Saccharomyces cerevisiae S288C: one gene and its partner. Changing the gene in region 1 together with any one later gene gives a genetic interaction. Each region holds a gene or a part of one and is shown on either strand. Other genes may lie near its edges.

The links.
Region 2: mutations in AUS1 (region 1) and PCA1 together harm fitness less than expected from each alone (positive genetic interaction), as found in Saccharomyces cerevisiae (2 studies listed by BioGRID).

What each region holds. Positions count from the first base shown.
Region 1 is NC_001147.6:346,341-355,875, forward strand, and holds AUS1 (ATP-binding cassette sterol transporter AUS1), read left to right. Parts: upstream 1-3,338; coding exon 3,339-7,523; downstream 7,524-9,535. Other genes in the region: TIR2 (putative GPI-anchored mannoprotein), read right to left, coding at 1-610; YOR011W-A (uncharacterized protein), read left to right, coding at 9,312-9,518. UniProt on the Saccharomyces cerevisiae protein: Transporter involved in the uptake of sterol.
Region 2 is NC_001134.8:789,680-798,765, reverse strand, and holds PCA1 (cation-transporting P-type ATPase PCA1), read right to left. Parts: upstream 5,918-9,086; coding exon 2,267-5,917; downstream 1-2,266. Other genes in the region: PHO89 (Pho89p), read left to right, coding at 244-1,968; SUL1 (sulfate permease), read right to left, coding at 6,952-9,086.

The DNA.
Region 1 (9,535 bases):
AAGAAGCAACAGCTGAAGAAACAGCAGAGGAAGAAGCCTTAGTGGAAGAGGCAGCCTTGGTAGAGGAAGCGACGGTGGAAGAGGTAGCCTCACTGGAAGAAGCGACAGCAGAAGAAGTAGCAGCAGAAGAAGAAGCTTCACTGGAAGAAGCGACGGCAGAAGAAGTAGCTTCACTGGAGGAAGCGACGGCAGAAGAAGTAGTTTCACTGGAGGAAGCAACAGCGGAAGAAGTAGCAGCAGAAGAAGCTTCAGTAGAAGAGGCAGCGGTGGTAGAAGTTCCTAACAAGGATTCCAATTCTGGTAGAAGCCTGGAAGAATACCATGGAACCATGGTCAACATCTTGCTAACAGCAGCAAAGTCAACCTCAGAGTACAAAGTAGTGTAGGAGTCATCAGTGGCGGAAGCCAAAGCTAAACCGATGTCTAAAACACCAGATGGCAGACTGCTTAAGGAAAATCCAGATGAAGAATCTTCAGCCAAACTAATATATTCTTGCAAGTTGGACTTAACGTCATTCAAAATAACGTTCAATTCGTCAATTTCTTCCTGAGTTTGGGCAGAAGCCAAAGCAGCGATAGCAGCTAATAAAGCGATCTTGATGTAAGCCATTTTTTTGTTATAGTTGAAGCGAGTGTACGAGTGTGTTTTGTATTATTGTGCTGATAATGGCTAAACTGGAAAAGAAGATGATATGTGAGAGCTCTCATTGTTCGAATTTCGTTAACTACTTATATATTATTTTCCGTAGTTACGAAAGTTGAACATTACTTTGTTGTTTTCTTGCTTACTCGTTTACTCACATGATGCTCAGCTATTAAGATAGTTCAGTAGAACATCTTACACTAAACTTTGCACCACAATGTTGATGGTTGCTTTGGGAGATCATTACGGAAAAAAAACTCTTGGCTTTCAAGGATTCCCTGCGACCTAACTCTGCACTCCTTCTGCAAGGTACTGTTTATTTTTTTCGTGTGTCCTTTACGAGGAACGAATAAAGGCTTGAAAGGTAGTTTTAAAGATGAACTTCTTCTTTTCTTTCTTTGCCTATGATTCCTCCAGGGTTTTCTTGCCTTCTACTTTTGGACAGAAATGTCTTTTTTGGGAAATGTGAGTCTCGTTTGGGAATCTTGGCCGGCCAAGATTTTATAAAGATGTTTCTGTAGGCAACGCGCTGCTCTAAGCACCGTGGGGAGGCCATGAAATATGATTGCGCGTAGTTCCCCAACGTTACGTTTATTTTTTTCTGGGCATAAAAAAAGCCAAGACATTCCCCACTGCTTTCCTACAGGCTCTCTATTGTGTATACTTTGCGCTATTGTGTGCTTTGTTGTTGGTCCGAAGATCGCATAAGAGGCACGCCTCTTATCAATTTCTTTATAGGCGGCTACCGCCAGTGGAGTAAAATTCACGCCTTTTTTGTCCACTCCTTTTTCCGTAAATATTACATAATTAAATAGTCACAGCTCTTACGCACCTGTTTGGCCGCACATGAGAGTTAAACGCAAACTCCGCCGAGGCGTCGTTTTTCTAGCTGCTGCTTCACGTTTTATGGAGTCATATTCTGGTCTAAAAAAATTATACTAGGCAGGTAATGGATTGTTTTAAGTTTCTTGTTAACTCACATAGGATCTTTTTTGAGTACCTTGTGAAATGGTTAGATTTGATACCTTATTTTTTTCCAACATTACATTATTTTAGTATCGTTCAAGTTCTCCTTTACTTTTAGAGATTACGCCTACATTATGTATGCCGAACTTAGTAGGAACTATTTGTACGCAAAACATGAATTGTTTGTCGTGTCTGCATACATTAGTGTTGACAGTCAGAGAACTTGATTTTAAAAATAAAAGTTTCTTGTTTACAAAAAAGTATGGTCACCCGGTGTCTTTGCTATAATGGGAACAGAAAACCATTTGCAAGACTACTAAAATACGATTTTGTAATTTGACGTTACAAATATAGGGATAGTTGATAAATAGTTACGCGCAGTTAACTTTTCCTCACCAAAGGACAGTTATTTACCTACTGATTGAAAATGTTTTGGCACAGGATACCAGTTTTCAAATTTATTAATTAATTAAGGAGAAGTGAGAAATGATTAGAAAGCAATTAAGCGGTGAAGGTCTGCTTTTTATACTTACAAGAACGTATTATTAGCAGCCAACGCACTACAGTTGTTGACTAAGTTTTGTTTTAATTTGATTCGTAGTTGTTGGTCGAATTTTGTTTTGACTTGTTTTCAGTTTCTTTTTTTTTAATGCCTGACGTTGAAGAGCACGCAGGCCTATGAAAAAAAAAAATTATACGAGTTACTTGGAATTCGCTCCCATTGCACCAATTTCAGGAAGCGATCAAAAAGAAAGCAATGTTATTCAACATAACTTTATTCATACTGTAGTAACAATAACTTCATATCAATTAGGATTCACTGTTCATTGACTTATCACTACAATATGGAGGAAACGTTGCGTAATCGTTGTCGCTATAGATATTGTCCCTCCCTTCCTCTGTGATAGTTCTTCTTTATATAACTTTCACAAAAGCTTCTGCCCTCATAGTTGCCCTCAATAAACGAAAGGCCAGATGCATACAGGTGCAGTAGTACATCCAAAGAAACATAGGGGCAAAAACCGTGTTCTAATATTAGACTGCATATATCCCCTTGTCATTAGCTTAAATCATATAGAGTAATATGTACATACAGGTTATTTTATTTGTAGCTTTCCTCCTCTTTATGGAGCAAAGTAAGCCATACGAACGGTTTACAATAGAGAGCGTCGTTTGCTTACGTGATTGTCATGTGCCTTCGTAGGCAAAGGGGATTGCACACCTTTTTACTAAACAATAGAAAAGTGAGAATTCTCTTATAGGCACTGCTGCTCCTCGTTTCTTTTTACGCGCTGTCGTTCCAGGTCCTTTTTTCGATTAACTACGGTAGTTTCAAAGAGAGTGCCTGAAGATCACTCCATATACAGGCTAGATGAACTGTAAACGAGCTCATCAGCAGCGTCCCTTTCAGTGTCACTACAGCCACAGCAGCTTACCTCCTGTACGATGTGACAGAGCAAAACACAAATGTGTGTCCTTTCTACTCTTATTTTCCAACTCGAATATAAAGACGGTGCCTTTGCCTTATTTCTAAGGCACTGAACAGTTCTAAAAGTAAAGTTTTCCCTAGCCTTAGTACCGTTTCTGTGAAGCAGTTATTGAATAGTTATTGGACATAAAAATCCATATTGAAAAAAAAAAAAACATACTTGAGAAGGCATTAGCTGAATAGTAAAGACTGCTGTAATTCATCTCTCAGTCCTTGCAGTCTGCTTTTTCTGGAATTAATATGTCAATTTCAAAGTACTTCACTCCCGTTGCTGACGGGTCACTCACTTTCAATGGCGCGAACATTCAATTTGGCGCCGATGCTCAAGGCGAGTCAAAAAAGAGTTATGACGCTGAGGACAGCATGCCGAATCCGGCAAATCAACTAAATGACATAACCTTCCAAGCAGAGGCTGGTGAAATGGTTTTGGTTTTGGGTTATCCCACATCCACTCTATTTAAGACTTTGTTTCATGGTAAAACTAGTTTGTCATACTCTCCTCCAGGCTCGATTAAATTTAAAAATAATGAGTTTAAGAGCTTTTCCGAAAAATGTCCCCACCAAATCATTTACAATAATGAACAAGATGTGCATTTCCCATTTCTAACGGTAGAACAAACAATTGATTTTGCCTTGAGTTGTAAGTTCGATATTCCAAAAGGTGAGCGCGATCAAATAAGAAATGAACTTCTAAGAGAATTCGGCCTGTCTCATGTATTGAAAACTATTGTAGGAAATGATTTTTTCCGTGGTGTTTCTGGTGGTGAGCGTAAACGTATTTCTATTATTGAAACGTTTATTGCTAATGGTTCCGTTTATCTATGGGATAATTCTACTAAAGGTTTAGATTCCGCCACAGCTCTCGATTTTTTGGAAATTCTTAGAAAAATGGCAAAAGCTACTCGTTCTGTAAACTTAGTCAGAATTTCCCAGGCAAGTGATAAAATTGTTGATAAGTTTGACAAGATTCTTATGCTATCCGATTCCTACCAGCTTTTCTATGGTACGGTCGATGAGTGTTTGACTTATTTTCGTGACACTTTAGGTATTGAGAAAGATCCTAACGATTGTATTATTGAATATCTGACCTCTATCTTAAATTTTCAGTTCAAAAATAAAAATTTGGGGAATTTATCAAATTCATCATCTGCTAGCGTTCTCAAAACCGCAACAGGGGAAGTCACTAAGTATACTTATAATTCTGATTTCGATTTATATGATCAATGGAAACATTCTTCGTACTATAGAAATATAAAGCAGCAAATCCAGGGGTCTTCAATTGATGACTCCATTAAGGAAGTGGATCCCTCTGATGTCTCACCTATTTTTAATATTCCGTTGAAGAAACAATTATTATTTTGCACAAAAAGAGCTTTTCAACGAAGTTTGGGTGATAAAGCTTATATGACGGCACAATTTATTTCTGTCGTTATTCAATCTTTGGTCATTGGTTCACTGTTTTACGAAATTCCGTTGACTACCATTGGTTCATACTCAAGAGGTTCTTTAACCTTTTTCTCCATTCTTTTCTTCACTTTTCTTTCTCTTGCAGATATGCCTATTGCCTTCCAAAGACAACCCGTCGTTAAAAAGCAATCCCAACTTCACTTCTATACTAACTGGGTTGAAACCCTTTCAACAACAGTGTTCGACTACTGCTTTAAACTTTGTTTGGTAATTGTATTCAGTATCATCCTATACTTCCTTGCTCACCTGCAATACAAGGCTGCAAGATTTTTCATTTTCCTCCTGTTCCTTTCCTTTTACAATTTCTGTATGGTGTCCTTATTCGCTTTGACGACACTAGTTGCTCCAACCATTTCAGTTGCAAATTTATTTGCAGGTATTCTGCTACTAGCTATAGCAATGTATGCTTCTTACGTCATCTACCTGAAAAATATGCATCCTTGGTTTGTATGGATTGCTTATCTAAATCCTGCAATGTACGCTATGGAGGCAATACTGTCTAATGAGCTTTACAATTTGAAGCTGGATTGTAGTGAGACAATTGTTCCAAGAGGTCCTACTTACAACGATGTTCCATTTTCCCATAAGGCCTGTGCTTGGCAAGGTGCTACTCTGGGTAATGATTACGTTAGAGGCCGTGATTACTTGAAGCAAGGTTTATCCTACACGTATCATCATGTGTGGAGAAACTTTGGTATTATCATTGGTTTCCTAGTATTCTTTATTGCCTGTACTCTGTTTGCATCTCAATATATTAAGCCTTATTTCAATAAGGATGAAATAGAGCGCAACAATAGTCGTTTGACAAGATGGCTACCATTTTTGAATAAAAAGAGAGGTACCAGGTCCTCTGCAAGAAATGACAGTAAGTATGTTGGTATCCCAAAGTCGCACTCCGTTTCGTCTTCCTCGTCTAGCCTGTCGGCTGTTCCATATCAGATATCACCCTCAAATAAGGAAATGGCTCTAAACGATTATAACGAGCAACCTATCACGGAAACAGTAGAGACTCAAAAGCATATCATCTCTTGGAAAAATATCAACTACACAGTTGGTACAAAGAAACTGATTAATAATGCATCCGGTTTCATCAGTTCTGGTTTGACCGCCTTAATGGGTGAGTCCGGTGCAGGTAAAACTACTTTGCTGAATGTCTTATCACAAAGAGTTGAGACAGGTGTTGTTAGCGGCGAAATTTTGATCGATGGCCACCCATTGACAGATGAGGACGCGTTTAAGAGAAGTATTGGTTTTGTTCAACAACAGGATTTGCATCTAGATTTGCTGTCTGTGAAAGAATCTCTGGAAATATCATGTCTTTTGAGAGGTGATGGTGACAGGGCATACTTAGACACTGTTTCAAATTTACTGAAATTGCCATCTGACATTTTAGTCGCTGATTTAAACCCGACTCAAAGGAAGCTTTTATCTATCGGTGTTGAACTTGTTACTAAGCCTTCACTTTTATTATTCCTAGACGAACCAACCTCTGGGCTGGACGCTGAGGCTGCACTAACAATCGTCAAATTTTTAAAACAACTTTCTTTACAGGGTCAGGCTATTTTTTGTACCATTCATCAGCCTAGTAAAAGTGTCATCAGCCATTTTGACAATATTTTCTTATTGAAAAGGGGTGGTGAATGTGTCTTCTTTGGACCAATGGACGATGCCTGCGGCTATTTCATGTCTCATGACAACACGCTCGTTTACGATAAAGAACATGATAACCCTGCAGATTTCGTCATTGATGCAGTAGGTAACAGTAACTCCTCGGCAGGGAAAGATACAGCGGAGGAAGCTCTTACTTTGAACAAAGAAGCCATAGATTGGAGTGCATTATGGGAATCTTCTGTAGAAAAGAAACTAGTTAAAAAAGAAACAGCTAGGTTAGAAGATGATGCTCGTGCGTCTGGTGTTGATTACACAACCTCATTGTGGAAGCAGCCTTCCTACTTACAGCAATTAGCTCTTATTACAAGAAGACAATATATTTGTACGAAAAGAGACATGACTTATGTCATGGCCAAGTACTGTTTGAATGGTGGCGCTGGTTTGTTTATCGGTTTCTCATTTTGGCACATTAAGCATAATATTATCGGTTTGCAGGATAGTATCTTCTTCTGTTTCATGGCTCTTTGTGTTTCATCTCCATTGATCAATCAAATTCAGGACAAAGCCTTGAAAACAAAGGAAGTTTATGTTGCTAGGGAGGCGAGATCTAACACTTATCACTGGACTGTTCTTCTTTTGTCACAGTCAATTATTGAACTACCACTGGCACTTACAAGTTCCACACTATTTTTCGTCTGTGCCTTTTTCTCTTGTGGATTTAACAACGCTGGCTGGAGTGCCGGTGTTTTCTTTTTAAACTATATGCTTTTCGCTGCTTATTACTCGACTCTTGGTTTATGGCTGATCTATACTGCTCCTAATCTACAAACTGCTGCTGTTTTTGTTGCGTTTATTTACAGTTTTACAGCATCATTCTGTGGTGTTATGCAACCATACTCTTTGTTTCCAACTTTTTGGAAATTCATGTACAGGGTTTCGCCATACACATATTTTGTGGAAACTTTTGTTAGTATTCTATTGCATAACTGGGAAATCAAGTGTGACATGTCGGAGATGGTTCCTGGTCAACCTCTGACGGGGCAATCTTGTGGCCAATTTATGGAAGCTTTCATAGAAGAATACGGTGGCTATCTACATAATAAGAACACTTTCACAGTCTGCGCTTATTGTACGTACACTGTTGGCGATGACTTCCTGAAAAATGAGAATATGAGTTACGACCACGTTTGGAGGAACTTTGGTATTGAATGGGCTTTTGTTGGTTTCAATTTCTTTGCGATGTTTGCTGGTTACTACTTAACTTACGTGGCAAGAATATGGCCAAAGGTCTTTAAAATTATCACCAAAGTAATTCCACACAGAGGGAAGAAGCCTGTACAGAACTAATACCATTTTTAAATATATTTCTACTTTCTACTTAATAGCAATTTTAATTAATCTAATTATTTACAAGTCACCAATGACTGACTAAACAATTGAAAGAGTCCTTTGTACAACAAAAAAAAAGATACTTGTCGCTGACGCTCAAAAAATATTTATATAGCAAAAGTGCACGACAAAAAATGCTTCCAATCGGATTTGAACCGATGATCTCCACATTACTAGTGTGGCGCCTTACCAACTTGGCCATAGAAGCAGTAAACCGTTATTTTGTTGTTTCTCAGAGTGGTACACGTCAGTATGACAATACATCATCCTAAAACGTTCATATGAAACAACCTTATAACAAAACGAACAGAATGAGCAACATGACATATAACTTCGCCTCCCTTAGCTTAACCACCCAAACGTATAGACGCCTGAGCAATTAATTTAGATCCGAGGTTCGGCGCTTCCACCAATTAATATGATCCATATTTTATATAATATATAGGATAAGTAACATCCCATGAAAAGCTGATAATCCGTTCTGACAACTGGTTACTTCCATTGACTGTTTATATTGGGATTTTCAAGACACCCCGGTATTACTCGTACCCGTAAAACAACATACACTTCGTCATGACTGAGAAGAATATAGGAGTAAAAAGAATACCTGAACTAACAGATATAATCAGCATCATGTTTTTTAAGCGAGAATACAGAAATATTCAAATTAAGATAGGCAACAAGGATTAGTTTAAATCTGAAAATCTTTTAAGATTAGGTACCTAATTTAGCTATATTGCTTTATGATTAGTTATAACGTCATTGGAGGAACAAACTATTGGAATAAGAATCGACTATAATCTACCGGCGAGTATTCATAAGCTATTATATTGTGGTAGACGGAGTAGAAAGATAAAAAAGGATTGAAAACAGTCATCTGATTTAATGGAAGCTGAAATGCAAGATTTAATAATGTAATAGGATAATGAATGACAACATAAAAAATAGAAGAAATAATAATAGTAACATTATGTGGAAATATGGGTTTCCTTGGCAGGTTCCTATATCCTTGAGAAAGAGCTTCTAATATATTTTGTATATTTAGTATTATAACTAAGCTGTTAGAAAATAAAATACCGCTAAATCAATTGAGGCGGTATTAAATACCTGTACATTTGAATATTTGGAATGAGAAAGAAATATAGTTACATAATGTACAAAAAAGAAGCAAGAAAGGAATATATATATATATATATATATATATATATATGTATATTGTTATTTAGAATATCTCTCTCTCTTCGAGAATCTCTATATCCTCGAAAAGAACTTTTAGCATATTCACGATAGGTCGTATTATCAATTAAATCAATTACGAAGTTCGGAAGTTATTGCCTACATAATATGATGTCCTGTTCATAAAAATAGAGCCCTAAGAAGTGTTATTAAATTTAACCAGCCTACAAATTAAATATAAAATGAGTGTTATTGTTCCACCGACTTGAATAATTGTACAACTTTAGCTAACATTTTAACTAATATTTTAACGCATCTTATTATCAAGTATTGTAACAATACGTATCATCTTACTATCTCAATGGAAGCATTCTCTTATACATACTGAGTCAAATATCTTGAAGACTCATTATAATGTGTAATAAAAGGACAAAGCAGCGTAGAAGCCTTAAATAACTATGCACTTGGACACATGTCTTCTCACGACGTGTTCAAATATAATGATTTTTCAATCAGCTTTGAAGTTCAATACAAACTTCTTCACTAAAGGATAATAAGCAATCATTATTAATGGCAAAATCGGTTTTCAATTTCTTTCATTTTGAAATATTGGAGTATTTAAACCGTTTTGTGTATCATTCACAATACTTTCTTCCATACTACTGCTCTCTTGAAGTTCTTGGGAAGAGCCGAAAAAATTGGACATTTCAATATTGGTGCTTATACATTACTACTGACAAGAAGATAATAAAAAAGAAAGATTTCTATCACCGATAGTGAGCTCTTTAGAAAAC
Region 2 (9,086 bases), on another chromosome or scaffold:
TCATTAGATTAACTCAGTCAATAGCAGATTTTTTTTACAATGTCTACTGGGTGGACATCTCCAAACAATTCATGTCACTAAGCCCGGTTTTCGATATGAAGAAAATTATATATAAACCTGCTGAAGATGATCTTTACATTGAGGTTATTTTACATGAATTGTCATAGAATGAGTGACATAGATCAAAGGTGAGAATACTGGAGCGTATCTAATCGAATCAATATAAACAAAGATTAAGCAAAAATGGCTTTACATCAATTTGACTATATTTTTGCCATTGCCATGTTATTTGCATTTTTGGATGCCTTTAACATCGGGGCAAACGACGTGGCGAACTCATTCGCGTCGTCGATCTCTTCTAGATCTCTAAAATACTGGCAAGCCATGGTTTTGGCGGGTCTCTGTGAGTTCTTGGGTGCTGTCTTGGCAGGCGCAAGAGTTTCTGGTACTATCAAGAACAACATTATAGATTCCTCCATTTTTACCAACGACCCCGCTGTTTTAATGCTTACTATGACCAGTGCTTTGATTGGCTCGTCTTGTTGGTTAACATTTGCTACTGCAATCGGAATGCCAGTTTCTACTACACATTCCATTGTTGGTGGTACAATTGGCGCTGGGATTGCAGCCGGTGGAGCTAACGGTGTCGTTTGGGGTTGGAGTGGTGTTTCTCAAATTATTGCGTCATGGTTCATTGCTCCGATTTTGGCAGGCGCGATCGCAGCTATAGTTTTTTCAATTTCTAGGTTTTCTGTCCTTGAAGTTAAGTCTTTGGAAAGATCGATTAAGAATGCTTTACTGCTGGTTGGTGTTTTAGTATTCGCCACTTTCTCTATCTTAACAATGTTGATTGTCTGGAAGGGTTCTCCAAACCTACACTTGGACGATTTATCTGAAACTGAAACTGCCGTATCTATTGTTCTCACAGGTGCAATTGCTTCGATCGTTTACTTCATCTTTTTCTACCCATTCTACAGAAGAAAAGTTTTGGACCAAGATTGGACACTAAAGTTGATTGATATTTTCAGAGGTCCATCTTTTTACTTTAAGTCCACTGATGATATCCCACCAATGCCAGAAGGCCATCAATTAACAATCGATTATTACGAGGGCAGAAGAAATCTTGGAACAACTGTTTCTGTTGAAGACGAAGAAAATAAGGCAGCGAGTAATTCTAATGATTCCGTCAAAAACAAAGAAGACATCCAGGAAGTGGACCTGGTTAGAACTGAAACTGAACCAGAAACAAAGTTGTCAACGAAACAATATTGGTGGTCATTATTAAAGCAAGGACCTAAAAAATGGCCCTTATTGTTCTGGTTAGTAATCTCTCATGGTTGGACTCAAGACGTCATTCATGCTCAAGTTAATGATAGAGATATGTTATCTGGTGACCTGAAAGGAATGTACGAAAGATCTAAATTTTACGACAATAGAGTAGAATATATCTATTCGGTTCTCCAAGCCATTACTGCAGCCACTATGTCTTTTGCTCATGGAGCTAATGACGTTGCCAACGCTACTGGTCCTTTGTCTGCTGTGTATGTGATCTGGAAAACTAACACTATTGGGGCAAAGTCCGAAGTTCCCGTGTGGGTTCTGGCTTATGGTGGTGTTGCCTTAGTTATTGGTTGCTGGACTTATGGTTACAATATTATCAAAAATCTAGGTAATAAGATGATTTTGCAGTCGCCATCAAGAGGCTTTTCAATTGAACTAGCTGTTGCTATTACTACTGTCATGGCTACCCAATTAGGTATTCCTACCTCAACAACCCAGATCGCCGTTGGTGGTATTGTCGCTGTTGGTTTATGTAACAAGGATCTCAAATCAGTTAATTGGAGAATGGTAGCCTGGTGTTATTCTGGTTGGTTTTTAACTTTACCAATTGCTGGTTTGATTGCCGGTATCATAAATGGTATCATTTTGAATGCTCCTCGCTTTGGTGTGGAATACCAAATGACATAATCATAATGTGTTTCGGTTATGAATACAGTTTTACAACATTAGGTAGAACTTTTATTGCTCAGTGACTTTAAAGTTAAAACATTTCTAATTTAAAACCTTAAAGATGCATTAATTTTTTTCTAATTTATCAGTTGATCTGCAATTACCTGGCATGGCTATGTGTATTTTTTTTTTTTATGAATTCCATCATATTAAATAGAAAACTAAACTAAATAATAAATAGAGTATTACAGAGTCGTCAAAAAAAAAAAAGAAAAGAAAAAAGAAAATCTACAATCAAATAGCAGCAGTACCTGGACTAAATCTTTGCATAACGCAGAAGTATAGCTACAAAAATTACAGGGAGGATACTAACTAGTTCCCCTAAACCCGCATACTCTGGTGGAATATGAAAGTCAACAAAGGCACCAGCCGCCAAAAGGATAGCAAATAAGTTGTAAGTAAAACTCCATAAGAAATTCAATTTGACCCTAAACATGGCCTTTTGACTTACAGTTATCATAGTCAAAATATTGTTGAGCTTTGGCTTTAACATAACTACATCAGCAGCTAGCTTGGCAACCTCACTTCCCTCATTGATATGAACTCCAATCGTTGCTTGAGTCAAACCAATTGCGTCGTTTGTTCCGTCACCGCAAAAAACAACAACCGGTCTTTTTGACTGCGAAGAACTATCGCAATTTCTTCCTTCGACAATATCCTTAATATATTCACTCTTTTCTGCAGGCGTTGCGTGAGAACGAATATTGGAGCTTTCAATTCCAAGACGGGCTGCCATAGAACGAACGGCTCCATCGTCATCCCCTGATAAAATGTGTAGTGAAATCCCTCTTTGGCGTAACAAGTTAATAGTGGAGACAGCATCTGCCCGTAAAGAGTCCTCTAATGCATAAACTGCAGTGACTGAACCATTAACACTAAAACAGAATACAGAATATCCTTGTTCAAGGGCTTTTCGAACGTCAGGATCATTGTTATGACCAAGCCAACGACAGTTCCCTCCTTGTAACTTCAAACCAGAGTATGATGTTCCTTCTACCCGCTTACCAGTCACAGCTTTTGTATTAGAAACATTTTGAGCAGAAACACCTTTTTCTTTGAGATAGGATGCTATTGCCATGGAAACTGGGTGTTTTATTCCTTCAGTTAATCCAAGCAACAAAGATTGAGAATTATGACGATCACCCCTAACAGTTTCATGTACTACAGTAAGTTTTCCTTCAGTTAGGGTACCCGTTTTATCGAAGACAACATGCGAAGTGTTGTGAGCAACTTCTATACTCTCTGCTGATTTGAAGATTACCCCTCTTTTCGCAGCGACGCCACTTGCAATAACAAATACGATAGGAACGGCAAGTCCAATCACGCAGGGACACGAAACGATAAGTACCGTAATGGCATATATAATGGCCTGAATTACGGCATCGGAGCGGGATTGCTTTTCCACACGGATTCCAACCGCTATCCAAACGCAAAAGGTGACGACAGTGATTCCAATGATAGTTGGCACGAAATAACTTGCAATTTTATCAGCGATATTTTGGATCTTTGGCTTAGTTAATTTTGCTTCATCAACCATCGTGGCTATGGTACTAATAGTATTGTTCCCTGGAAGCTTGCTCAGCTTCACAAACAAAGTACCAGTGCCATTCACCGATCCTGCAACAACAATTGATTGACACTTTTTCGGGACTGGCATAGATTCACCTGTGATTAACGCTTCGTCGACTTCAGAAGACCCAGAAATGACTGTTCCATCAGTTGGGATTCTTGAATCAGGTAAAACCTTAAAAATATCGCCATATTGGAGAAGTCTAATATTAATTTCCGTCTCTTTACCAGTTTTATCCACCAGAATAGCAGAAGAGGCCTGTAAGGAACGTACTGATATTGACTTTACAGCCCTATGTCTAGCTAGTTCACTCACAAAGCGACCAACCATGATGAGAGTTACAAGCAAAGAGCTGGTTTCAAAAAACTGCTCCGTAGATAACGGGCGTCCAACAACGAAATATCCAAATGATACAATCGAAAATATGTAGGCAGCGCTAGTGCTTAAAACTATTAGTAGATCCATTTCAATGAGCCTGGAAAATATCAAACTCTTCAAGGCATTTAAGTAAAACGGTCCTGCAATAACAAATTGAATAATAGTTGCTAGCACCATTGACGCGGAGATAGTGGAAATTTTTTCACGAAGCTGTGGAGCCCAAGCCATCACGAGAATCGGGATCGTCAATATTATGGATAAAGCGGTCGTGCAGCCTACACGAACTAAATGCTTCCTTCCCACTTCAATGGTTGGATGACAACTGAATGGAGCAATACTAACAGGCACGCTCCATCCTTCATTGACAAGATCTCTGGCACCTATAACCTTTGGGTCAAAGTAAATACGAATGATATTTCTCTCAACAATTTTCAGCTCTGTGACACCTTGTGGCCATTCCTCATTAATAAAATCTTTTGCTGCATAAGGAACAACAACATCTATAGTTGAACCATGATTTGAAATCTGTTCGTACTTGAATTCAGTAGTTTTGCTCAAGTGCTTGATAACATCCTTGACAGATCCCTGAGCAAGATCCAGATTAAATTCAGCTTGCGATAATATTAAACTGGTCTTCAAACCGTGAACACATTTGAGCGCGCCAAATGATTTCTTAAGTTTTGATTCACAACCAGTACAGGACATTCCTGAAACACTAAGAACAATGTGCTCGGTACCGGTAGATCCTGCCTCAAGATTAAGATGATTTTCAATTGGTTCCATTGATACGATTCTTGAAATTTCACTCGAAGAGTGTCCAGAAATAGTTGAGGTAACAGCACAATCCTTCATTTTAGTGCAACAACTTTTAGAACAAACAAAATCAGCATGGCCATTGTCATTGCTCAACCTTTCTTTGTCTCCATGGGTCTTTTTCTTTGTTAAACATCCAGAACTGTTGCGGTAGGAGTATTTTGTCTTTTTAGAAGCACCCTCCCCGCTACAAAAACGCACCTTTGGGAGACAACAAGATTCTTTTCCCAAAGTACGCAAATAGTTACAGATACAACCTAAATTTTTCAAAATTGAGGAGTAACGATTGTACATTCTAGAGTACTGTTCGCTGAAGAACTTCTCGCTTAAACTGTCGGTAGAGCTACTCCCAGAAATTCCAACATTGGTGCTACCTTTAAAAGTCCTCTTTTCACAGCTACGAGATGCAATCCGCTCAACACATGAAATGTTGCAGCACTCAGGCTTACTGGAAACCTCAATTTTCTGTCTGCTAACTTTACAACTTCTTTTCTTGAGTGTAGAGTCACTTGATTCGATGCAAAGCCTACCCTTCCCTGTGTGTTGGTTGGAATTGGTATTGCAGCGAGTTGTCTCTCTAATATCATGAATAGATTGCAGACCTTCAGATTTGCTTGGAACAACTTCAAAGCTGGTCAGCAATTGTTCTTTAGAAGATACAGCTTCGCAGCTGCCTGTAACTTCCTCGACCATCACTGAAGAATCTCTAACGCAGCATCCATCAACACAGGATTCATTGGTGTGGTCACCACCTGTTTGAGCATCGCCGCAACAGCTGTCCACATCCAAGCCAGTCTCAGTGTCGTTCACTTTCTCAGCACAACATTCATCTACACGGGATTCATTGGTGTGATCACCACCGGTTTCAGCATCGTCTACATCTAACCCAGCCTTAGTCCTATTCTCGCCATGATGGCATATCTGCTCAGTCTCACTCAAACATTCCTGAGGAGTAATTTTGGGCCGATTGGTACAGTCTCGCTGGGAGACCAATCCCAGATTGTCATTAGCATGCATTTCTATGGATCTACGATGACACTCGCCTCTATTATCTTGCATAGCATCTATTGATATGTTCTCGCTATTTACCACTCCATACTCGCCATCGCTGGTACCTAAACCGGAGAAGAGTTTTTCCGGCTTCATCGTTATCAGCAGCTTTGGGCTCTTTCATTGTATAAATCCTGGAAGCATCTCGAAAATATCTTGCTTTTATATTTATAATTGCACCTTATTTATGCCAAGTGTAGGCTTTTCATGCGATTTTAAAGAAAAATTCCTTGTTGGCGCCTAAATTTTGATTACCTAACCCATACATTCGTTCAACCTTATATTTTTAGAAAGGCCTGTTATCAGATCATTTTCCGAAAACTCTTCAGAACCAATTTCAAAAAGACAACTATTTGACACTTTGTTGGTTTTCTTCAAAACAGTGATGGATTCATCCGCTCGAGGAGCTAAAATGGGGAATGAATTCCTTCCAAATAGAAATAGTACTTACTTCATTGTATTGTTGGAAAATATAAATCGATATTAACAATAAGAAAATTATTCCATTATTGATTTATGAGATTAAAATCACACAGCCTACATACAACTCAATAACGTTATCTGCCTTGCAAAACTGCCTCTGTATATATATCGATGATCTTCAAAATATACTATTTTAAGAAGTGTTTTAATTGAAGGATTAAAGTACAGGGTAACTTTTTAAAATTCATTGTATTGCTAAAATAGTATTTTTCTTTTCAGATTCATAACAAAACATAATTTCTTCCACATTAGGAGAGACAAGCCGTCCAAACTCTTTCCGCCTAAAAACCATGAAATAAATTCAAAAAAAATTAGGAAAATGTTGCTCTATCTAGCATAAGCTTAATACTTAAATGCATTTTTATTTTTATTTTTGTATTTTCAAAGGACATTTGTAGAAAATAGGCTCAAGCTCAAGTTAACTTCTAGACCATGTCTTTTCAGCGCCTTAAACTACTGAAAACGGCCCTTTTCGTGTACTAATGCTTTCAGGAAATTATAAAATTTATTTTTACTTTCGCCATTCAACATACTCAAAATAATAAATATTCCAGCTATTTGATGGTAATCTACATTAATAACACAATTATCTTTTCATGTATAACTAAAAACAGGGGGGGTAATTAAAGTACTTACTATCTACTACACTAAACGTCCCATTTAGAAAAATCGGGTATATCGATATGAAAAAACGGTAAATTTGTCCCAGTTGCAGCACATAATGTTTCATAGTTACTGTAAGATGTGCTTATACGGCTGTCTTCATCAGTATAATCCACATCATCCTTCAAAACTTTTGCAACGTGAAAACTAGAATGGCCAGCGATAATAGAGTCGTCACTATATTCCTCATTTGTAGTTCCGAATTTAACACTCAAAAGACTTCTTTTGATCCATGGAGATATAATTCCGGCAAAATGGAATTCGACTTGTCTATCCGCATACCTATTCACAGCTTTTCTCAGATCAACCAGGCTTTGAACAGCGGTTGAATCCACTTGAGCAACTTGGGAAAAATCCAGGCAGACGACTTTCAGTAGCGGCTTTTCATATGTTTCTCCGTTACTGCTTCCATTCGATATCGGTAGGTCACTATTCGTTGTTGCTGAATGACGTTTAAATTTAAATAGTGATTTCAAAGAATCTGGCATTTTCCATTCACCAGGATCATTCCATGGACGGTCTGACTTTTTCCTTAAGGTTATAAGTTGGCCTCGCCTTGTTTCTTCCTTAATACGATCAAATATAATGTCATAATGCCTTGAGCAGTTCACGTAAGTAAAGCTATCACCCAAACGATAGACTATGACACCTGGTGGAGGAGGCCGAACTGTGGTATTGATATTCAATTCTCTTGAGTATCCATGATCGAACGGAACCCACTTTACGCTAAACTTATACTCTGGGGCTGGTAAAACCTCAACAGTAGACTTAACCTGTTTATTCAGTTCATTAGGTAATTCATTAGATGATATCACAGCATCAATATCCTCTTGTACTGTTGGGTTCAATACTTCTGCCACCTCAACACGACCAAGGAATTTACCAGCAGGGAAAGCCTGTTTCAATAGTAACATTGCACATGACCAACACATTGCAAAATATATACCATTTTCAATGGATGAAAATACTGTGATGAACACTGTAACGATAAATGAGATACAATCTAACGGGTTGGTCTTCCAGAAGGTCCAGGTGGTTTTGTAAGAAGTCAGCAAATCAGAAACAGCATGAATAATAACCGCCGATAGTGTCGCTTTAGGAATGAAAAAGAAGGCGTCAGTTAAACAATAAAGTGCTAATAGAACGCAACCGCCAGTGAATACCCCAGAAAACGGAGTGCGCACGTTACATTTTGCTTTCAAAGCAGATCTGGAAAATGACCCAGTTGCTGGATATGAGTGAAAAAATGTCCCTATCAAATTTGTCACACCAATCGCAATAAGTTCTTGGTCAGGGACAACCTTGTAGTCGTTAATTCTACCAAAGGATTTTGAAATAGCGATGTGTTCTAACACCAGAACGATAATTGAAGCAGGTATTTCTGAACTCATATTAGATAGCAGACCGTCTGGGATTTTCATAACTCCCACCTCATTTAAGCCCGAGGGAACTGTACCCAGAATACTGATTGGACGGTCTTTTGAAGATTTGTTTCTTGTTATGCTCCACGATATGGCAGTAAAAACTACTATGACGACGGCATTTCTCATAGCTTGTGCATAGAAATAGAAGGATTTCAGTCTATTTGCTACCTTTGGTTGATTTCGATAATATCTATCTGCCAAAGTTATACCAAATGTACCACACCACCATTTCCATACATAGAGGATTACCAACGGAATCAAGCCAAAAACGGCGTCTAACTTTGTGTTTGGTAAATGTTTCAGAGTGTTAATTACAACCTTATACGTTGCTTCTCTGGTATTCACTAATGAGTTGTATCCCATGAGAGCCGGAATTTGACCCCAGATGATGTTAAATGCGGAACCGGTCATGAAGCCAGCAACAGCATTTAGAGAAATAAGTTCCACTAAAAAGCCTAAACGCAGTATACCCAACCCAGTGGCGACAATCCCACAAAGCAAACAAAGGGTAGTTGCAATGATAGGAGCTGTAACTTCTGTCTGGTCTTCGGGATATTTTTTTAGAACTTCAGCAATGACTTTGGCAGTTTGTAGTGACATTACAGCGACCGGACCAATACAAACATCTTTCGATGTGGCAAACAAAGAATATATAAACGCACCAATAAAGGAGGAATACAAACCATATTCAGGAG